Linked DNA regions of Arabidopsis thaliana. The protein of the gene in region 2 interacts with the protein of the main gene of each other region in a pairwise test. Each region holds a gene or a part of one and is shown on either strand. Other genes may lie near its edges. The genes, in order: AT3G52070, UMAMIT25, NRAMP2 and WNK3.

Region 1 (3,055 bases), on a different chromosome or scaffold from region 2:
CTTTGGGGGCTCTCTATTTACATTCTTTTTTACATCCATTTTCCCATATCTCTACCTTCCCTAGAGACACACAAAAGCTTAAAAAACACAGCAATTTTCACACACACACACAGAAGTTCATCTTTATTTAGCCACTCTTCTTCGAGCGCCAACACAAGCTTCTTCCTAAACCTTCCTTATGATGATATCTGAAACCTGAACACAATAACAAGAAGATAAGCAAATTGAAACTAAACTCTCAAACTGTATTCATATTTACACATTGAGATTTCAGTGTTATACCTAATTTACTTTCACCGAATTCAATCCCTAAAGATCACAGCATCTGCAATCTCCATAAGCGGTTGCAATGACTCCGGCGTGAATTTTCTGGCGAAGAAATAGTCTAAACTCGAATTAGATCTCCGCAGAGAGTGAATCAGCTGCGGCGAGATCTCAGAGGCATCGTACGTGTGAGGATGACCACCAACACTACCGGTCCAATTAACACGTGTGAGTGTAAAGTGACTACATCCTTGAGGATCCTCAAGAGACAACAAAGTCGGAAAATAATGTTCTTCAGGGTAACAAGATTCAACATCAAGGCATGGTAATTTGAATTTCCTCCATAGCTTTCTCTCTTTGATCACCATTAGAGCATGACGTTTCGCTAATACGAAGAACTGAGATCCAACACGGAAGTCTTGGTACTGGATCTCAGGAAGCATCGCGTCGTCTCCTCTTGCGTTGTATCGTTTCAGAAGGAACGGTTCATCGGAGAGGATCTCGATGAAGCTTTGTTGATGATGATCGGAGAAGAGGTGGTTGTGGATGTAAGAGAAGGAATGGAGAGGGATACAGTGTTGTGAGATTAAAGCGAAATAGAGATTGTTAGGATCGTCGAGGATTGCGTTTGCTAGTAATCGTCGTTCGGCGGAGATTAACGTCGGAGAAGCTCGTGCGGTTCTTCTCGCCGGGATGAACTTAGCGTTGATTGATGAAGAATCGAGAAGAGGAGAGACGGAGGAGGTTGGATCTGCGTGGATGTAAACGTTGTAGAGATCTTGGTGACCTTGGAAGAAGCTTTCCCAGAGAGGTAAGAAGGTTAGATCGGAGTTTGTTAGGAAGAGGAAAGCGATCTTTGGGGGTGGATTTGGAGAGAGGGAGATGAGACGACGGTTGTTGTTGGTGGAGGAAGAGACGACGGCGCGGTGGAAGAGAGAGAGGTCGTCTAGGTCATCGGCGGTGGAAATGAGGGTAGAGGAAGAGAGAAGGATGTGTGGTGAGAGGATGAAGAGGAAGAAGAGAAGAGAAAGAGAGAGGAAGAGAGATAGAGAATAAACGAGTGTAGAAGATGAGAACATCTCTCTGTATACAACAACACAGAATTTCTCTGAGGAAGAAGAAGAAGAAGAAGAAGAAGATTGATTGAAATGAATGAGTTAGAAAAAATTCTGATGTGACAATAAAAAGGAAAAAGGGGAATAATGACGTCAGCAAAATGGGGACACGTGAAATTATTTTTAAAATTATTTGGGACAATCGACACAGTTGCTCTATCGCTATTTGTTTACGTGGGGCTGTTCTCTCTCTATTTATATAATAATGAGATACGGTTTTTTCAGCAACCAGATTTTAAAGTTATCTGATTAAATCTAATAATAGGATAGAGATAGAGTCACAGAGACATGTTGTTGACTTTATGACATTATTTTATTCTTTGCTTATCCACTCAGTCATCATTTATCTCACCAGTCAGACATAATGTGTTGTTGTTGTGAATTTGTAGATGCTTCCGACTATACCTGATTACCTGGCCATTCAGAATCGGTTTGGATCAAAAAATTTGGGTTTTCGGTTTAGAAATCGAAACAAACCGAATTAGTTGAAACGAACCGAATAGAAATTCGGCCAATTTGGTTTTGCATTGGCGTGTACCTTGTGACTACATGTGTGTGTGTTAGATGAGATCTATCCACCCATTTTTCAAATCATTTTTGTCGTTAAGCTATCAAGATTCTGATATTTTCCTGCTCACTTTTGATTCCCAAAACAAAAAACTTTCTTCAATTATTCTATTCATCTTCTCATGGCGGCTCTCTCCACCACCTTCTACTACCACCCACTCTGCACTAACCACCGTACAAAGAGACAAGCCTCAAGCAGACACGGAGTTAGATCTATGAGAGTGATGTCTTGTCGGAAGCAGAAATTACCAGAAGAGAATGAAGGAGTGATCCAGAGAACATTGAGAAGGATGATTTCAGAGGCTGGGAAGATTGGGAAGAATCTGAAGCCAGAGAAGAAGAAAGGAGACGTCAAGGACCTGATGCTTATGAGTCTCTCTTTTGCTGTTTATGTTTATATCTCTCAACTATTGGTTTGTGCTTACTTCTCCTGGCAACATCTCAGCTTCCCCAAATCTTCATGGTAGTAGCTAAGCTAGCTCCTCCTTGTAAATTCTGCACAAATCAGTAATAAGATAAGAAATTCAATTCCGACATAGGAGAATTGAGAGTTGTGATCTTTCACTTTGGTCTTATATAATTGAATTGTTAAGCTTCTCATACCTCTTTATCTGCTTTAACTCCGGCAGAAAAGGCAAACCAACCATTGCGATAACACTATCAACCAGTTAAGGCTCTTTGTTTTAGAGCCGAAAGGAGATGCAAGAGCCTCGGGCAGAGTCGCTGAGTATGCCTTGAAAACCAAAACTTTGACCGTAATTGTTAGAAAGAAAGAGAGATTCCTAACCATTTCGTATTGGCCTCCTCCAATTTATCCTCCTTAAACAGAGAGCCCCATCCATTTTCCTTCTGTGTGCTGCACCAAACCTTTCCTCCATAGTCATATCACTGCGAGCTTTTCCCTGTACAATCCAACCTCTAAGTCAGCTATAAGCAAAGAGCTTGGGATAAAAGCTTGGTTGTGGAGTGTTCAGGTAAGGAAACAAGAATCAGCAAATGATCTTAAAGAAAAAACGTTCCTCCTTTGTTTCATCAAATCCAACAACTTCAGCGTCATCTAACAATTCCGCTATAGATGGAACATTGGGAAAAAGAAGAGTTTCCATCTC
Region 2 (5,690 bases):
ATTCTCTATATGCATATATGTTTTTAATGGCGATGCTGATGCTGAGGTTGAATTGAACTGAACTTGATAAGGATAAAAATAAACACTTGGGATATAATATAATATATCTTTTTCTGTAAGATCTAATTCTGTTTTTGCTTCTATGAATTATGACCTTATGGCAAAATCAGGTGGTCAATAATACTAATAAATGTCCATAGTGTTTGTCTTTGACAATTAAGTCTAACTAAATCGCATGTGATTCTCCATGTTCTGTATCAAATCTACTATATCTATCGATTACAGGTACATGAACCGAGATAAACCTTGCAACTCGTAATCAAGAATGACGAAGAAGATTAACAAAACAGAACAGCGACTCTGTTTTGATTCGTATATAACACTTGAGTTACTAAACCAGGATTAAACCGTTACAGCCAATTGTAATTGACTTGCACGAACCGAAACCCTCTGTTTCAAGGCACTATTTTACATTTTGGGTCTAAATGAATATTGAAGGTCTGTAATAACTTTCACCCTCTGACAAAACATAAAATAAATTACTTGAAGACTATGATTTGATTTGTTTTGGGGATAAAGGAAATAGGTTATTAGAAAGAAAATAAGATAATGGAAACGATGAAGATTAAGAATACTGAATATATATAGAGATCAAACAGGTGATATTTGTTGTCCATAGGATGAACACACAAATCAACACTCCATCATTAGCCTCAAAATGGGATACAAAATTAAACACTCCGAAAATCCAATTTAGTTGCAGTAACTTAGATAACAAGAAATCCCAAAAGGTTCTTCCATAGCTCATACTTATATATGATGAAGAAGCAATCACCATTTTAAGGCGATGTAGACCTTGTGGAACCATTTCCACTACTTGCTACCGGTAATCTCGATTCAATATCTTCATTACTTTCACTCTTGACTTTATGGTTTTGTTGTTTCACCTTCTCCCTTTCTTCTTCCTTCTCACTCACCTCTCTGTCTTTCCCCCACAATACGCCATAGAGACCAATAACCACAAGTGCTGATCCCATAAACCTAATATACATATATCATATAAATTCATCATCATCATCTCGTTTATATAATGTTTAAACACACAGAGAGATAGATAAAGATGTATAGAAACATACGTGCCGGTGTAGAGTTTCTCTTCAAGAAGAGCCCAGCTGAAAATGGCGACAACTACGAGAAGTAAAGGGCTGAAAACAGAGACGTACAGAGGACCTTTCCTCTGCATAGCCCATGACATTAGGCAGAAAGCTAACGCAGACGCCACCACTCCCTGCATGATCCGTGTTTTATACTAGTGTCATATATTTTTAGCTTAAGATTGTTATCTAATGATCATAGTATATGTATGTGGACTTACGGCATAAAGGGCGGATATGAAGCGGAGAGGAGAGCTGAGAGACCAATCAGAGATTGTATGATCGGAGATCAAAGCAATGGCTCCACATTGGATACTTCCCATCAAACACATTAGTAGTGTGCTCGTGTACGGTGCTGCAAATGTTTCACTCATCTTCGTCTGTAACCAAAATAATATTTATCATAACCAAATGAGAATTTAGTTTCATTTTCCATTATGTGGGTTCAAATTGTTTGAAGCTACATTTTTTTTTAATTAAGTAATTAAGTTACCTGGATAATGAACCAAGCGGCCCAAGAAACGGCAGCAGCCATAATAAGAAAAGGTCCCAAGAAGAAATTAGAATGGCCAGAACTGGAACCATGTTTCGTGATGTTTTCAGCGTAGGCCCAATGGATCTTGGATTCTCCAATGCCGATGGTGTGACCATGGTAGAAGGAGAGAACCATGGCTCCGATCACACATACTAGCGTCCCTATCACTTTGGCTTGTCCTGATGCCTTCTTGATCCCCACGGTTTCTTGTCTGAAAAGAAAAAAGTCTTGTGTTAAGCAATAATCATAAACGAGTATTGTCTGAAGGAAACTTAATTAAGATTAATTTCATATAACCTGAATATTGCGGCGAGGAGGAAAGTGACCGCTGGTAAGAGATTAGTTAAGGCACAAGCAATGGTCGGAGATGAATTCTGAAGTCCTACGAAATATAGCACTTGGTTTCCAGTCGCACTGCAAAGAAAATCAATGTAAATCGCTTTATAACAAAGTAAGATTGCAATTAGTAGGTAAAGTGTATGTAAGATACCCAGTAATGGAGCAGAAGAAGACTTGGACAAGAATCCTAAGTGTGATCTTCGGTCTTGTCTTCCTGCACAAGAAACCGTGTATGAAAAATTTATGTTTTCATTAGTCCACTAATCATTATTAATCAATTAAAGCATTTCTCATTGAATGTAATCATGCAACTAATCCTAAAACCACCCGGTTAAGTTAAACCGAGACTCAAGAAAACAATCAAATTCACTTCTCATATCATATGAAGAGATTAGAGTGGAGAAACAGAGTAAAAAACGTAATTGAAGAAGCACGTGTCTTGGCAAATGAAGATGGCACGGCACCTGACGACGCTTAACTCACCTGGCATCATGATTTGTTTGTCATCATGTGCTTCGGTTTAAGAAAGAAACGTGACGCGTGGATTGTGTGAGACTGCGTCACATTTCTCATTTGTTTCTCTCTCGGAAAACGGAATTAATGATAATGTAACTACTTAGGTTTCCACATACCACCAAAATCATTGACGGTACCATGATTATGAAAAAATAACGGTAAATACTAATCCCAATAAACAAAAGAAAAAAGCTAGTGTCTACTACATTTCAACTAATTAATCAGCGTCACTTTACCACTTTTTTGTCTTTTTTTTCTTTACCACATTTTTCTTCACATTCTGAATTAATATTATTCATCAAGAAACTTATAGCTTACCATATACCATTATATGCGTATTCTATCGTAATCTCCGGAAAATAAGACGATGTCGTGCTAAACTTTTTTTCTTAATTATTAGTTTAGTGTTTTTAATTTTTAGTCTTCTAAATGGAGGTTCATTTGTTGCCAAAATTGTAAAATAATAAGAAGTAAATTAATGAATTTAAATCTATTCAACGTATAGTACTGATGAATTAAGTTATTAACATATATCAAAAAAAATCTTGACCACAAAAAAAAAAGACTTTAAGCATGCAGTACTTCTATGTCAATAAATTAAAAAGCTTGATTTTTGAAACTTTTGGAAAGTAATAAATTTAGGTGACGCAAGAAAGTTCAAAGACGTAAAAACGTTCTACATGAGACTCACAAAGCCATTTAGTAAATGGTTTTTCGTCGTTAATATTTTAATATACGCACTCACCATTTTGACGTTTATGTTGATGAATATGATTTCATCATTTTCTACTTTCGCAGTTAAGACAAACTTGAAAACACAAAAAAACAATGCTAAAAGAAAAATTTAGCTAATCAAAGTTTAGCATTTCTTGCTGATCTTTGTAAAACATAGACTCACCACCTAAAACCTAATTACTTTTAACCCCAAAAAAGTAATAAAAACACCCATATGCTTTATTCAAGAATTAAAACAAATTCAACATTTCATCGATGCAATTGTTTTAATCGTGTAATTCATACATGTCTAAAATCGTTAGTTGATCAAATAAGATGTATATGGGCAGATATTAGTATGGTTTTTTTTTTACCGTTCGAGAAAAAATGCGACCGGAAAAGTGGCGATAGTGGCAAATATCTGACGATAAGCGACCAGGATGAGTGGCTTCATACCGGCCTCCATAGCCATCTTCGACGTAATGTTCATGCCTGCGTAGCCGATTTGCACCAACACCATCGCCAAGAACGGCAACATATCTGATTTAGCCATCTCTCACTCTCTTTTATTTTATTCTTCCAATTTATGTGTTTATGTGTATCTCCAAAATATGCCTCTCTCACTATTACTAATCAATAATAATAGGTCAAGAAACCAAGAAAAAAAAATAAGGGAGAGAGGTGGATTCTCTATATCATTTATTAGTTTCCCCAAATCTATATTTTATTTTGGTTCGACCTTATATTTATAGCCAAAGATGTATATATACACACATTTATATATACATGCACATACATATATTTATTTATATACATACATATATATAGAGAGAGATGTTTTAAACAGAAAGGTGAGAAACGGTTCGAGAATGAAGTTTGCTTGTAACACTTGGACTCTCTTTAGGGCATAAGAACACGAAACAATAGGTGATATGAATCATTTGATATTTTTGGCAATTTATTTAAATTTTCTCCTTGCTGATTACTAATACAATCCAAATTGGCGTTTTGTCAAAAAAAAATCTAACTTATTTTCCTCGTTTTAATCCATTTTTTTGGTTTCCGTTTTTTCATGGGTTTGGTGGAGCTTGTGAATGTCTTTCTCAAGCTTCAAGCAATCAATTTGCCTTTGCTAAAACTCGTTTCTGTGATATTAAACCAAGGGCTTGGTTTATCGCTTGATTAACAATATCGAATTAGTATTATCTTACGTATTTTGAATTGATTTTCATTATATCACTCTTGCTTTTTGTCAAACTTTTGTGTGTGTAATATATATCATAAATGGTAAATTAACTATTTATATCCCAAAAGGGTTGGAAGTTGGGCATGGATTATCGAATATATATTGAATGGCATGCATCTTATGCAATATAAATATAACTAGGTAAGTATCCGCAAAATGTATGCATCTAATTATTTCTAAAATTTAATATATAATTAAATTCATGATTATATTATTACATGTTTCAGTTCGACTGCATACTGTATATATACTATATATTTTTAATGTATGAACTAGGTAATCATTTACACAATGGGTTGGACATACGTAATTTAAGAATATCTTTGAAAATAACTGGAATTTATATCATTAAAAAGTAGGATATAACTAGAGTGGCTAGTATAATTTTCAGAAAACTAATTAATTTTTAATTAAAAACTATACTGAAACATAATGATTTATATATAAAACTTTAGTAAACTAAAGTAAAATGCATAATGAAAACTTGTATAATATAAGAAAATCTCATATACAAAACAACATATATTGTTGGGCCAATTATTGGTCTTAAAAGGCCTCATTTATTCTTAAAAGGCCTTTCCTTAGGTGTACAGTGACTTCCTTGAGCAAGAATGTCATTTCATATGGATAGAGATAAAACATTGGTCTGTAGTCAGCACATAGGTATACCAAACACGTTAAACTTTTTTGTTGGCTGAAATTTGAGAAAGTAAGTGATGCTTAACATTTTGCTGGATATCAGTGGTTAATTTTTATACGAAATGCTTTTGGAGTTGAAGATGAATAAATTATGAGTAATGCTCCATTTGCATAAGTCAAACAAGCTAGCGTTGGCGTCCAGATGATTAATTTCCGCGTCCTCTTTGGCTTCCAAGTTCCAACGTAAATTTTCGCCGCATATTTTTTCGATCTTATCTTTTCGTTGTTACGTACAAAAGGAAAATTCCATTGTACATTCGTTTTGGATATATACTTTAGGATGCATATGCATATTTATGTATGAACAATTAGCATCTACATTGGAGCTGGAGCCAACAGTAAGCTTGAGTTATGTGTCTGTCACTGTCAACCACCAACATACAAAGTCTTAGGCTTTGTTTTTAAATTCACTAAAGAATCACACTCACACACTATAGCTTAAAATAAGAGAAATAAGGCCCACACACTTAAGGCTTACCATTATTAC
Region 3 (4,883 bases), about 14 Mb from region 2:
AAGAGAACAGATCAAAAGACAATATTTACAAACCTCAAGTGTTTTTCAAACAAAACCCACAGCGTCAGCCACAAAAGCCTCCGATATCGCCTAATCTTCTTTCGTGAATAGTAAGAGACAAAAAATGGGTTAGTTGCATGTAAGAAACACAGATAAAGGACGCAATATCTACAAACCTCGTGGGTTATTCAAACAAAGCACATCAATATTTACAAACCTCATGTGTTTTCCAAAAAAGCACAGAAGGATTCCCAAAAAAAAAACAGAGACTTTAGCCGCAAACTCTCGATGGTCGCCTAACTTTCATTCATCAACAGTACACGAAACAAAATTAGGGTTAGTTAACAACGAACCGAACTTTAGATCTAGACACAAGCGATGATTGACATGCAATTAAAGGTATAGGGGAAGAGAAATAAGAAGAGCAACTGTAAATAATCGGAAATCAGTGGTTCTACTTACCCAAATCGTCGGCGAGGGAAGACCAAAAATTAATCCTTCGATTGTCACCGGCGACTGCAACGAGAAGACGATTTGAAAAGGATAATCGGAAACACAATCAATTTCTAGAAACAACTACTACTTGGATCGAAAAGATGAGAGCAACGACGATGAAATTAATCGCCGCCGAGAGAGGTTTTTTCGGTGAGAAAAATTTTTTTTTTTTTTTTTTTTTTTAATTTTAGGGTTATTACTTTGGTCGTGAGACAAACTTGGGCCGAATAATGCAATAGAATTCAAATTTCAAACCCAGAATCATACGCTCCCCAAACAGTGTCTTGTCGCTTTGATGTCTAAGGTTATACATGTAAAATTACATGTGTTTCCGACTTACCCCTGTAGCTCATGGCTATTCTCTTAATTTTTTTTGAATCCATGGCTATTTTATGTAGATACTCATTGAAATATGGTAAAAGAAGGTACAGTAGAAATACTAATTATGTTCATGCTTGAAAGTTGAAACACACAAAAAAAACGAATAACATGTTTTTATGATTTAAATAATGAGTGATGAAAACACACATGAAGGGATTGACAAAAATACTAGTCACTAAATATCCTCATGATACAAAAAAAAAAGAAAAAAAGAAAAATAGTCACTAAATATTCACTTAACTAAAAATCCTCATGATTTGTTCACTTTGGAAAATTCAGCAAAAAAATTTAGTAAGCTTATTGAATGTAAACCAGTAATTTCTGATGAGATTAAAACTGAGTTCTAGTTAAAAGACTTTCGGATGAGGAGGTTAAATTTTCATAATTTGCATCGCATCAAAAAAAAAAAAACATTTTATCAATGGTTGAGTTTCTGCTCATAAATTTTTGGAATGTGAGTAATACAATCATATCAACTATGCTATTCATGAAGCTCTAAAAAACTAATCATGAATCTTATATTGGAAACTCAATAAACTTTTGGTGTGGGATATTTAGTTTCACACATTGTGATCTATAAAAGAGAGGAAGAGATAGATCAAGCAATGGATCTAAAAATGTATAAAACACACACTTTATTCACTACCTTGTATTCAATTAACGTCATTAAAAAGCAAAGCTTTATTCAAATTTGTGACAATACAACTATGGCAACACTACACTAAATACATAATTTCAAAGCAAATTTATAACATAAAGTTTTTCTTCTTTTTTAGGCATTAATATAATAAAGTTGAATCTGGTACCAAAAAGTTACGAAAAAGAAACGCATTAATCTCTTTTTTAAAAAGCATCTGATTAAGTGCCTGCGTCTTCTTCTTCTTTTATCCCTCCAATTCAAAATTCAGGTACGTCGACGACACCACCACCACCACCGACAGAATATTCCGATTTAACCCTCACCGAATATTCCCTCTTCCTCCATGGAAAACGACGTCAAAGAGAATCTCGAAGAAGAGGAAGACCGTCTTCTTCCTCCTCCTCCTCCTTCACAATCTCTCCCATCCACCGATTCCGAATCCGAAGCGGCTTTCGAAACAAACGAAAAGATCCTAATCGTCGATTTCGAATCACCCGACGATCCAACAACCGGAGACACACCACCGCCATTCTCATGGCGGAAGCTCTGGTTATTCACCGGTCCAGGTTTCTTAATGAGTATAGCGTTTTTGGATCCAGGGAATCTAGAAGGAGATCTACAAGCTGGTGCAATCGCTGGCTATTCTCTGTTGTGGCTACTAATGTGGGCAACAGCTATGGGGTTGTTGATTCAGATGTTGTCAGCTAGAGTCGGTGTAGCTACTGGTCGTCATTTAGCTGAGCTTTGTCGTGATGAGTATCCTACTTGGGCTAGGTATGTGCTTTGGTCTATGGCGGAACTTGCTTTGATTGGTGCTGATATTCAAGAGGTTATTGGTAGTGCTATTGCTATTCAGATTCTTAGCCGTGGCTTCTTGCCTCTTTGGGCTGGTGTTGTTATTACTGCTTCCGATTGGTGAGTCCTTTCGATACTCTATTCGTTCTTTAGAGATGTTGGATTCGTAGAATTAGTAGAGACTTGGTTTGGAGAATCTTATGATTCATTCTGAAATTTTAAAACTTTGCGGATCATCTTAGCGGTATTGAGTTTGAGTATGGATCATTCGAACTCACAAATCAGTAGAAACTTGGTTTAGAGATTCATGATTCAATCTGAAGTTGAGAATTTGCTTTTACTTTGGCTGTTTTCTTGTAAAACTTTGCTAAGATGATCCAAACTCACAAATCAGTAGAGAATTGGTTTAACGATTTGTGATCGAATCTGAAATTAAGAAACTTGCTTTTTTGTATTTTGAAAACTTGGCTAATGAATTTGTTGCAAACAGTTTTTTATTTTTGTTTCTAGAGAATTACGGTGTGAGGAAGTTAGAAGCTGTTTTTGCAGTTTTGATCGCAACTATGGGTTTGTCCTTTGCTTGGATGTTTGGTGAAACAAAACCGAGTGGGAAAGAACTTATGATAGGTAAAGATTTCAGATTTTTACTCTTGAATTTCACTTTATTTGCTTTGATTTGAGTGCTTAAAAATCAAATCTTTGTGTTTATGGATAGGTATTTTACTACCGAGACTTAGCTCAAAGACAATTAGGCAAGCTGTAGGTGTTGTTGGCTGTGTTATAATGCCTCACAATGTGTTTTTGCATTCGGCTCTTGTACAATCGAGGAAAATCGATCCGAAGAGGAAATCCCGGGTTCAAGAAGCGCTTAATTACTATTTGATCGAGTCATCCGTCGCACTTTTCATCTCCTTCATGATTAACTTGTTTGTGACTACTGTCTTTGCAAAGGGGTTTTATGGAACTGAGAAAGCTAATAACATTGGCCTAGTTAATGCTGGTCAGTATCTTCAAGAAAAGTTTGGAGGCGGGCTTCTTCCGATTCTTTATATCTGGGGTATCGGGTTGTTAGCAGCCGGACAAAGCAGTACGATAACTGGTACATATGCTGGACAGTTTATAATGGGCGGTTTTCTGAATCTCCGGCTTAAGAAATGGATGAGGGCAGTAATAACAAGAAGCTGTGCTATTGTGCCTACAATGATTGTGGCAATCGTGTTCAATACTTCTGAAGCTTCCTTGGATGTTTTGAATGAATGGCTCAATGTCCTTCAGTCTGTACAAATTCCTTTTGCTCTTCTCCCTCTTCTAACCTTGGTATCCAAAGAAGAAATTATGGGAGACTTCAAGATTGGGCCTATTCTCCAGGTAAATTTCCACTTCTTTTACTACAAGTCTCCATAGGATACCACAATAGGTGAATTAGTGTTGAGTCTTATCGTTTTAGGTGTCTCGACTTTTTTAGTTTCACTGTTTGTGCAATTATCTTAGTAAACATGTAGAATTGAAAGTCCTTCAATGGAATAGAGAAGCATGAAGAGTGAGTATTTGTAAGTTGATTGGATTTATTGATTACATTGCAGAGAATAGCTTGGACTGTGGCTGCACTTGTAATGATCATCAATGGGTATCTTCTGTTGGATTTCTTTGTATCAGAAGTCGACGGGTTTCTGTTTGGAGTTACGGTCTGCGTCTGGACGACTGCTTATATCGCCTTTATAGTGTACCTCATTTCACACAGCAACTTTTTTCCTTCTCCTTGGTCATCCTCTTCCATAGAACTTCCCAAAAGAGTGTCCGTCTCCAATAGCTAGTAGCTGCACAAAAATAACTGCCCTCAAGACCATTTGTTACATGTCAAGAAGATACAGTAAACAAACTTCATCCACTATAGTCTTATACATATTGAAACGCCAAAGTGGTGATAAGAGTTAGCTTAGCTTTTTGTGAATGTTAACATCACAAATATGTAGTGGCAAAGTCTTTGTTGTACTTTTTTGTTTTTGTTAAGAGGATGTGCACATTCCAATATGATTTAAAGAGGCTTTTACATCATAGAAAAAAGCAGAAAACAAATCAATAAAAATCTAATAAACCATTGAAAAAATGGTCAAGCAAAAAAAAAAAAGTTTCTTAACTAGTGTTAGCAAAAATCATTGAACATACGCTAAAAGAGATAATACTCAATACTAATCTGCCATTCTAACAGATATATACAACCCAAAATTCAGGTAACTAACACTTCCAATACATAAGCTTCAAGCTTCTTTTACGCCATTCCTCTAATGGTAATATCTTCAAAGAAAGCAAGAGGTAGCTCCGGTGAAACAGGCATGGTCGCAACGCACTTGTACTGTACCAAGAGAATCAGATATTAGAATGTTCTTGTTGCAATATATCACAAGTTTAAAGTTACATCATTGAATTGTTGAATTTACCTTGTGTTGCTTGTACTTATTTCTAACAGCTTCTAGAGTGTTTCCTCTTCTGCTTAGATACAAGTCATGTATGATACCCACGCACACTTGTAGATCAGCTGCTTTGTACTTTGTGTATTCTTCTAGCATTTGAT
Region 4 (5,205 bases), on a different chromosome or scaffold from region 2:
AAATCTGAATTGGTATCATTCAAAAGTGTGTTTCCTCACCATGACAATTGCCTTTATGCTAACACGGTTGATTTCAAACCCGACGGTCTTATCTCTTTGAATAGCGAGCAATACATCCACAAAATCAGTCATATCTCTGTTTCCATCGACATGATCTTGCACAACTCTCTCAAAGAACTTATCAACATCGTTTGCCGTCTTTTCTAGTTGACAGTCTAAACCGCGGATCCAATCAATCCACGCAAGCCAAGGTACATAACTCCCCACACTAAACGTCCCCAATAGTTTATTTAGTCTCTCCATTAACTCCTTAAAATCCGTTTCACCACCGTATTTCCGTCCCAAAGCAACTTTACATATCACATCGTTAGTTAAACTCACCAAGATCTTGCTTAGATTTACCGGCAAAGAAATCGATTTCCTGATCTTTTCCATCATCAGACTGATCTCTTCTTCTCTCACTTCTCGAAAGGATCGTACCATTTTGTTGCTGAATAGATGGAGGACGCACACACTTTTCATTTGCCTCCAGTACTCTCCATAAGGAGCTGAGGCCACATCATGCTTATCGTAAAGAAGTTTCTCGAAGATTTTTGACCGTGGCCGGCTTGCGAAAACACGGTCATGCGTCTTCAAAACGTCTCTAGCCAATTCAGCTGAAGATACTACAAGAACGGGGACACGGCCAAAGTGAAGAAGCATAAGAGGACCGTACCGGTGGCTGAGAGAGCATAGTGATCGGTGAGGGTGGCGGCCGAGTTGATGAAGGTTTCCGATCAACGGTAGTCCCGGTGGTGACGGAAGTGTGTTTCTTTTCTTCCCTCTCTTCTGTTTTCTGAAAATTATGATGGTAACTACAAAGATTATTGAGCATAACAGAAAGAACATGATCATCATGTCTGGATTCTTCAAGTACATCAAAACGTGTTCTTGTGAAGAGTTTTTATTTGTGGTTTTTTTGGACTTACATATACAAGCCAAGTTTCTTCACGGTAGTACTAGTACGTAATTACTGTCCACTCAATCTTTTGGACTTATGTATTTATGCATGCACCAGTCTTTTAATGTTTAGTTCTTCGAGATTTTTCCTTGTGAAAGTCATTTGGTGCGTTTACGATTTATGTCTTATTTTGGTCGTGTCACCGTTCTAGTCTTTCGGTGCTTCCACGATGTGTCTTACCACCATACAATACAAGTGCCTAGGATAATGGTCTCAGGCTGCCGTCAGCTCTAAGGATTTATATACTCTGGGCCCAATGGGCCTTACAAAAATTTGATGATCATTGTATATAATCGGTTTTTAAACGGCTGAACCGCCAATTCATACTCATCAAAAATACAACGACAACATTGTTCAACAAACAATTCTCCATGAAAATTTAAATGTCCTAATTCGTCTCAAACATTCTGTCTCCAATATGTAAAACATTTATATTTTGAGATATAAGTAGAAGTAATAGATTATAACAAATGATCATAACATTAGTGTAGTGATTTGTGTCAGTACAAGTTTCTATTTAAAGTGTAACAACATTGAATATTTATGTTTCACCAAAAACTATGACTATTATTCTATTAATCCTGAGAGAGAGAGCAAAACCCTTTAGTGAAAAGTTTCCTTAAGTTTAAAAGAACTGAAGCTGAAGTCCAAATTGTTGTTTACACACAGTAAAATCGAATTCGTTACCATGACAAGCGGGTTCAATGGCTAAACATTTTGTAATTTACCAAACCCATTATTCGATTTGTAGGATAGTCAATTATAGGGTTCTTAGTCAGCTAAAACAGTGACTTAAGAGTTAAGAAGGGGAAAAAAAAAGTCCGAATATTTTATATTCACAACACCATGAAGTTGACTGAATAAGCAAAATAATTGATTAGAGTAACATGACAATAAATGAGAAGAAAATCAAATAAAAAACCAGATCCATGGCGCGAAAAAAGCAACGACCCACACCTTTGCCACGTGGTCTTGTCCAGTGGATCTGAGTGTCCTAAATTCGAAGATGAGAAAGAGAGAGAGTGTACAACATTCTACAGTCGACACCATTATGATCAGCAGCTGGAAAAGCTTAAGCTTGGTTTTAATGGCACAAAATCTAAATAATCGATTTATACACAAAAAGACAGCTAAGTAATGATTATTATTATTATCAGAAACTGCTTCAAAACTTGTTCTTCCTTGACTAAATTTCTCTCTTCTCTCAAGAACTCCTATCATCTGTTTTGAATTGCAAGTAACCAAGAATGCGACAAGACGAGAATAACTCCGAGGAAGAATTCGTTGAGATTGATCCCACTGGTCGCTATGGCCGGGTCTGTTCTTCTTTACTTGATTTTAGTGTTACCTTTTTCTCAATTCTAATGTTTTTGTTTCTCATGTTTTCAGTATAAAGAAGTTCTAGGCAAAGGAGCTTTCAAAGAAGTGTATCCTTTTTCTTAGATCTCTGTTATTACTACAGAGACAAATCAGATTAGATTCGGACAAGACACAGTCACTAAAGGGTTTCTTTGATCAGAGAGTTCTTCAGATACAGAGCATTTGACCAACTTGAAGGAATCGAAGTGGCTTGGAACCAAGTTAAGTTAGATGATAAATTCTGTAGCTCAGAGGATTTAGATCGTCTTTACTCTGAAGTTCACTTACTCAAAACCCTTAAACACAAAAGCATCATCAAATTCTACACTTCTTGGATCGATCACCAACACATGACTATCAATCTCATCACCGAAGTCTTCACTTCCGGAAATCTTAGACAGTCAGATTCCTCTCTCAGAAGTCAAATCAAATCTTTTTTATTTGATCAATATTATTCATGTTTGACAAACCCTTATAGGTACCGGAAGAAACATAAGTGTGTTGATCTAAGAGCATTGAAGAAATGGTCAAGGCAGATCTTAGAAGGGCTTGTTTATCTACATAGCCATGATCCTCCTGTGATCCATAGAGATCTTAAATGTGATAACATTTTCATTAATGGGAACCAAGGTGAGGTCAAAATTGGAGATCTAGGGCTAGCCGCGATTCTGCACCGCGCTCGCTCTGCTCATAGCGTCATCGGTGAGATCTTTAATCTTGTTCTCAAACGAAAAAGTTTCTCCATTGTGAAACTATAATTTTGTGTTTGAAATTGTTTAAGGAACTCCTGAATTTATGGCGCCGGAACTCTATGAAGAGGACTATAATGTACTTGTCGATATCTACGCGTTTGGAATGTGTTTGCTTGAGCTGGTAACTTTTGAATACCCGTATTCCGAATGCACAAATGCTGCTCAGATTTATAGGAAAGTTACATCGGTAAGTGATCATATTCCCATCTCATATCCAATCAAGAATGACTTTTTCCATATTGTCGATCCATTTTTCTCAATGCTTCTTAGGGAATCAAACCAGCCGCTCTTTTAAATGTGACTGATCCGCAAGTGAGAGCATTCATAGAGAAGTGTATCGCAAAGGTCTCGCAACGCTTGTCAGCCAAGGAACTACTTGATGATCCTTTTCTGAAATGCTACAAGGAAAATACCGAAAACGTCAGCTCTCACAAAGGTAATATCAGATTATGGTATTTCATTTCATCTCAATATGAAGTGTCATGGACTCCTTTCTTAAAAGTTAAAATCAATAATAGTAACATAAGATAGTTTCTATATTTTTTCTATGTGAAATTTTCTAACACCAAGTTCAATAACATTGTCACAGAAAATGGTTACAACGGAAACGGAATCGTGGATAAACTCTCGGATTCTGAGGTAGGCTTATTAACCGTAGAAGGCCAACGTAAAGACCTCAACACAATCTTCCTAAAACTACGTATCACCGATTCCAAAGGTTCAAAATCTTTTTTGCTTTTTTTATTACAAATCTTCAGATCATTACTAAATCTTCTTTTGACACAATAATAACATTTTTTATACAGGTCAAATCCGCAATATCCACTTCCCATTTAACATAGAGACAGACACATCTTTCTCAGTCGCCATCGAAATGGTCGAAGAACTAGACTTAACCGATGATCAAGACATCTCAACGATAGCTAAAATGATCGACACAGAGATACATTCACACATCCCCGATTGGACCCCTTCTCGACTTATCGGTGATGATTCAGCGGTACAAAAATGTTTGTCTTCTCCAGAGACGCTCCATTTAGATAGATTTCCTTCAGGGAGAAAATTCTGGTCCTCTCCTAAAGCTGGAGCTGGAGACTCACGTTCACCGTTTGCGCCACGGTCTAATTCTAAGTTGTCGTCAGCACAAGGACCGATCAATCAAGAAGTTGGGGTTATAGTAGAGAAACTTGAGTCTTTGTTGAGGAAACAGAGAGAGGAGATTGAAGAGATGCAGAGAGATCAAGAACGTATTGTTACTGAGTTCTTAAAAGAGTTTCCTCCTGAGATTTGTGAAGAGGCTTTGGTGAGATTGCAAGTTAAAGATTCTGATAACTTATTGTGTTAGTACGTTTTTTACATTACACACTCTCGTCAAGATTAATTTGGTTTGCAATATTATGTTGTACTAAAGGTAAGTAAATGTGTAACAAAATTGTGACAGTTATGATTGAAGGAAAACTATTTGTCAAATAATATTTCTTGAATTAGTTAGGTGAAGACGTAACTAGCTCAGAAGAGTCTGGGAGAAGAAAAGAACGCGGTGATGATAGGTCACATCACTGTGTTCTTATTCACTTGATTCTTCTGAGCTAGCCTCGTCCTCTTCACCCAACTCTTATGAACCTTACTCGTCTTCACTGGACTCACTTGCAGAGACTCTAATAAGGTTGTCTTATGATCTATGCTCGCCTCTCATAATCTTAGAAGAAGATATAGAGCGGTTCATATTTTGTTCTCTCTCGCCTATTAGGTTTAATGGGTACTGGTGTTTCTTAAATAGCGTATGCCTCAAGATAATATATTAGGGTTTCATAGATAATAAACCTAATCACCAAAACATTTGGCATAAATGGGCTAAAAGCCCAAAATTTCATAAAACTACCTTAAAACATCTTTATAGGAAAGAAAGCGTTTCAGGGAGTAAGCAAATATAAGCATATGGCAGCGTCAAGGACTCAAGGGATCCAATCAAAACTACAAAGAGCAAATAAATAATCAAAACAAAAACTGAAATAAACTAAATTCTCATACTTGTTCAGGAATTGGTTTCTGATCCGTCGAAGCATGCACTCCCTTGCTCTGCCATGAAGAAAA

What was found.
Region 1: the proteins of UMAMIT25 (region 2) and AT3G52070 interact in a protein complementation assay, tested with the Arabidopsis thaliana proteins (one large-scale study listed by BioGRID).
Region 3: the proteins of UMAMIT25 (region 2) and NRAMP2 interact in a protein complementation assay, tested with the Arabidopsis thaliana proteins (one large-scale study listed by BioGRID).
Region 4: the proteins of UMAMIT25 (region 2) and WNK3 interact in a protein complementation assay, tested with the Arabidopsis thaliana proteins (one large-scale study listed by BioGRID).

What each region holds. Positions count from the first base shown.
Region 1 is NC_003074.8:19,310,685-19,313,739, forward strand, and holds AT3G52070 (RNA/RNP complex-1-interacting phosphatase), read left to right. Parts: upstream 1-2,033; 5' UTR 2,034-2,068; coding exon 2,069-2,413; 3' UTR 2,414-2,540; downstream 2,541-3,055. Other genes in the region: AT3G52060 (core-2/I-branching beta-1,6-N-acetylglucosaminyltransferase family protein), read right to left, coding at 303-1,343; AT3G52075 (uncharacterized protein), read right to left, coding at 2,563-2,736.
Region 2 is NC_003070.9:3,025,512-3,031,201, forward strand, and holds UMAMIT25 (nodulin MtN21 /EamA-like transporter family protein), read right to left. Parts: upstream 4,039-5,690; 5' UTR 3,812-4,038; coding exon 3,633-3,811; intron 2,243-3,632; coding exon 2,180-2,242; intron 2,104-2,179; coding exon 1,987-2,103; intron 1,901-1,986; coding exon 1,648-1,900; intron 1,535-1,647; coding exon 1,376-1,534; intron 1,289-1,375; coding exon 1,137-1,288; intron 1,042-1,136; coding exon 840-1,041; 3' UTR 551-839; downstream 1-550.
Region 3 is NC_003070.9:17,308,285-17,313,167, reverse strand, and holds NRAMP2 (NRAMP metal ion transporter 2), read left to right. Parts: upstream 1-1,662; 5' UTR 1,663-1,859; coding exon 1,860-2,431; intron 2,432-2,801; coding exon 2,802-2,938; intron 2,939-3,026; coding exon 3,027-3,679; intron 3,680-3,894; coding exon 3,895-4,125; 3' UTR 4,126-4,365; downstream 4,366-4,883. Other genes in the region: CYCA3;4 (CYCLIN A3;4), read right to left, coding at 4,581-4,664, 4,750-4,883. UniProt on the Arabidopsis thaliana protein: Seems to be involved in iron uptake.
Region 4 is NC_003074.8:17,872,263-17,877,467, reverse strand, and holds WNK3 (with no lysine (K) kinase 3), read left to right. Parts: upstream 1-1,937; 5' UTR 1,938-2,247; coding exon 2,248-2,316; intron 2,317-2,389; coding exon 2,390-2,427; exon of another isoform or gene 2,428-2,531; coding exon 2,532-2,759; intron 2,760-2,837; coding exon 2,838-3,061; intron 3,062-3,140; coding exon 3,141-3,298; intron 3,299-3,381; coding exon 3,382-3,547; intron 3,548-3,700; coding exon 3,701-3,829; intron 3,830-3,917; coding exon 3,918-4,456; 3' UTR 4,457-4,648; downstream 4,649-5,205. Other genes in the region: CYP71A26 (cytochrome P450, family 71, subfamily A, polypeptide 26), read right to left, coding at 40-897. UniProt on the Arabidopsis thaliana protein: May regulate flowering time by modulating the photoperiod pathway.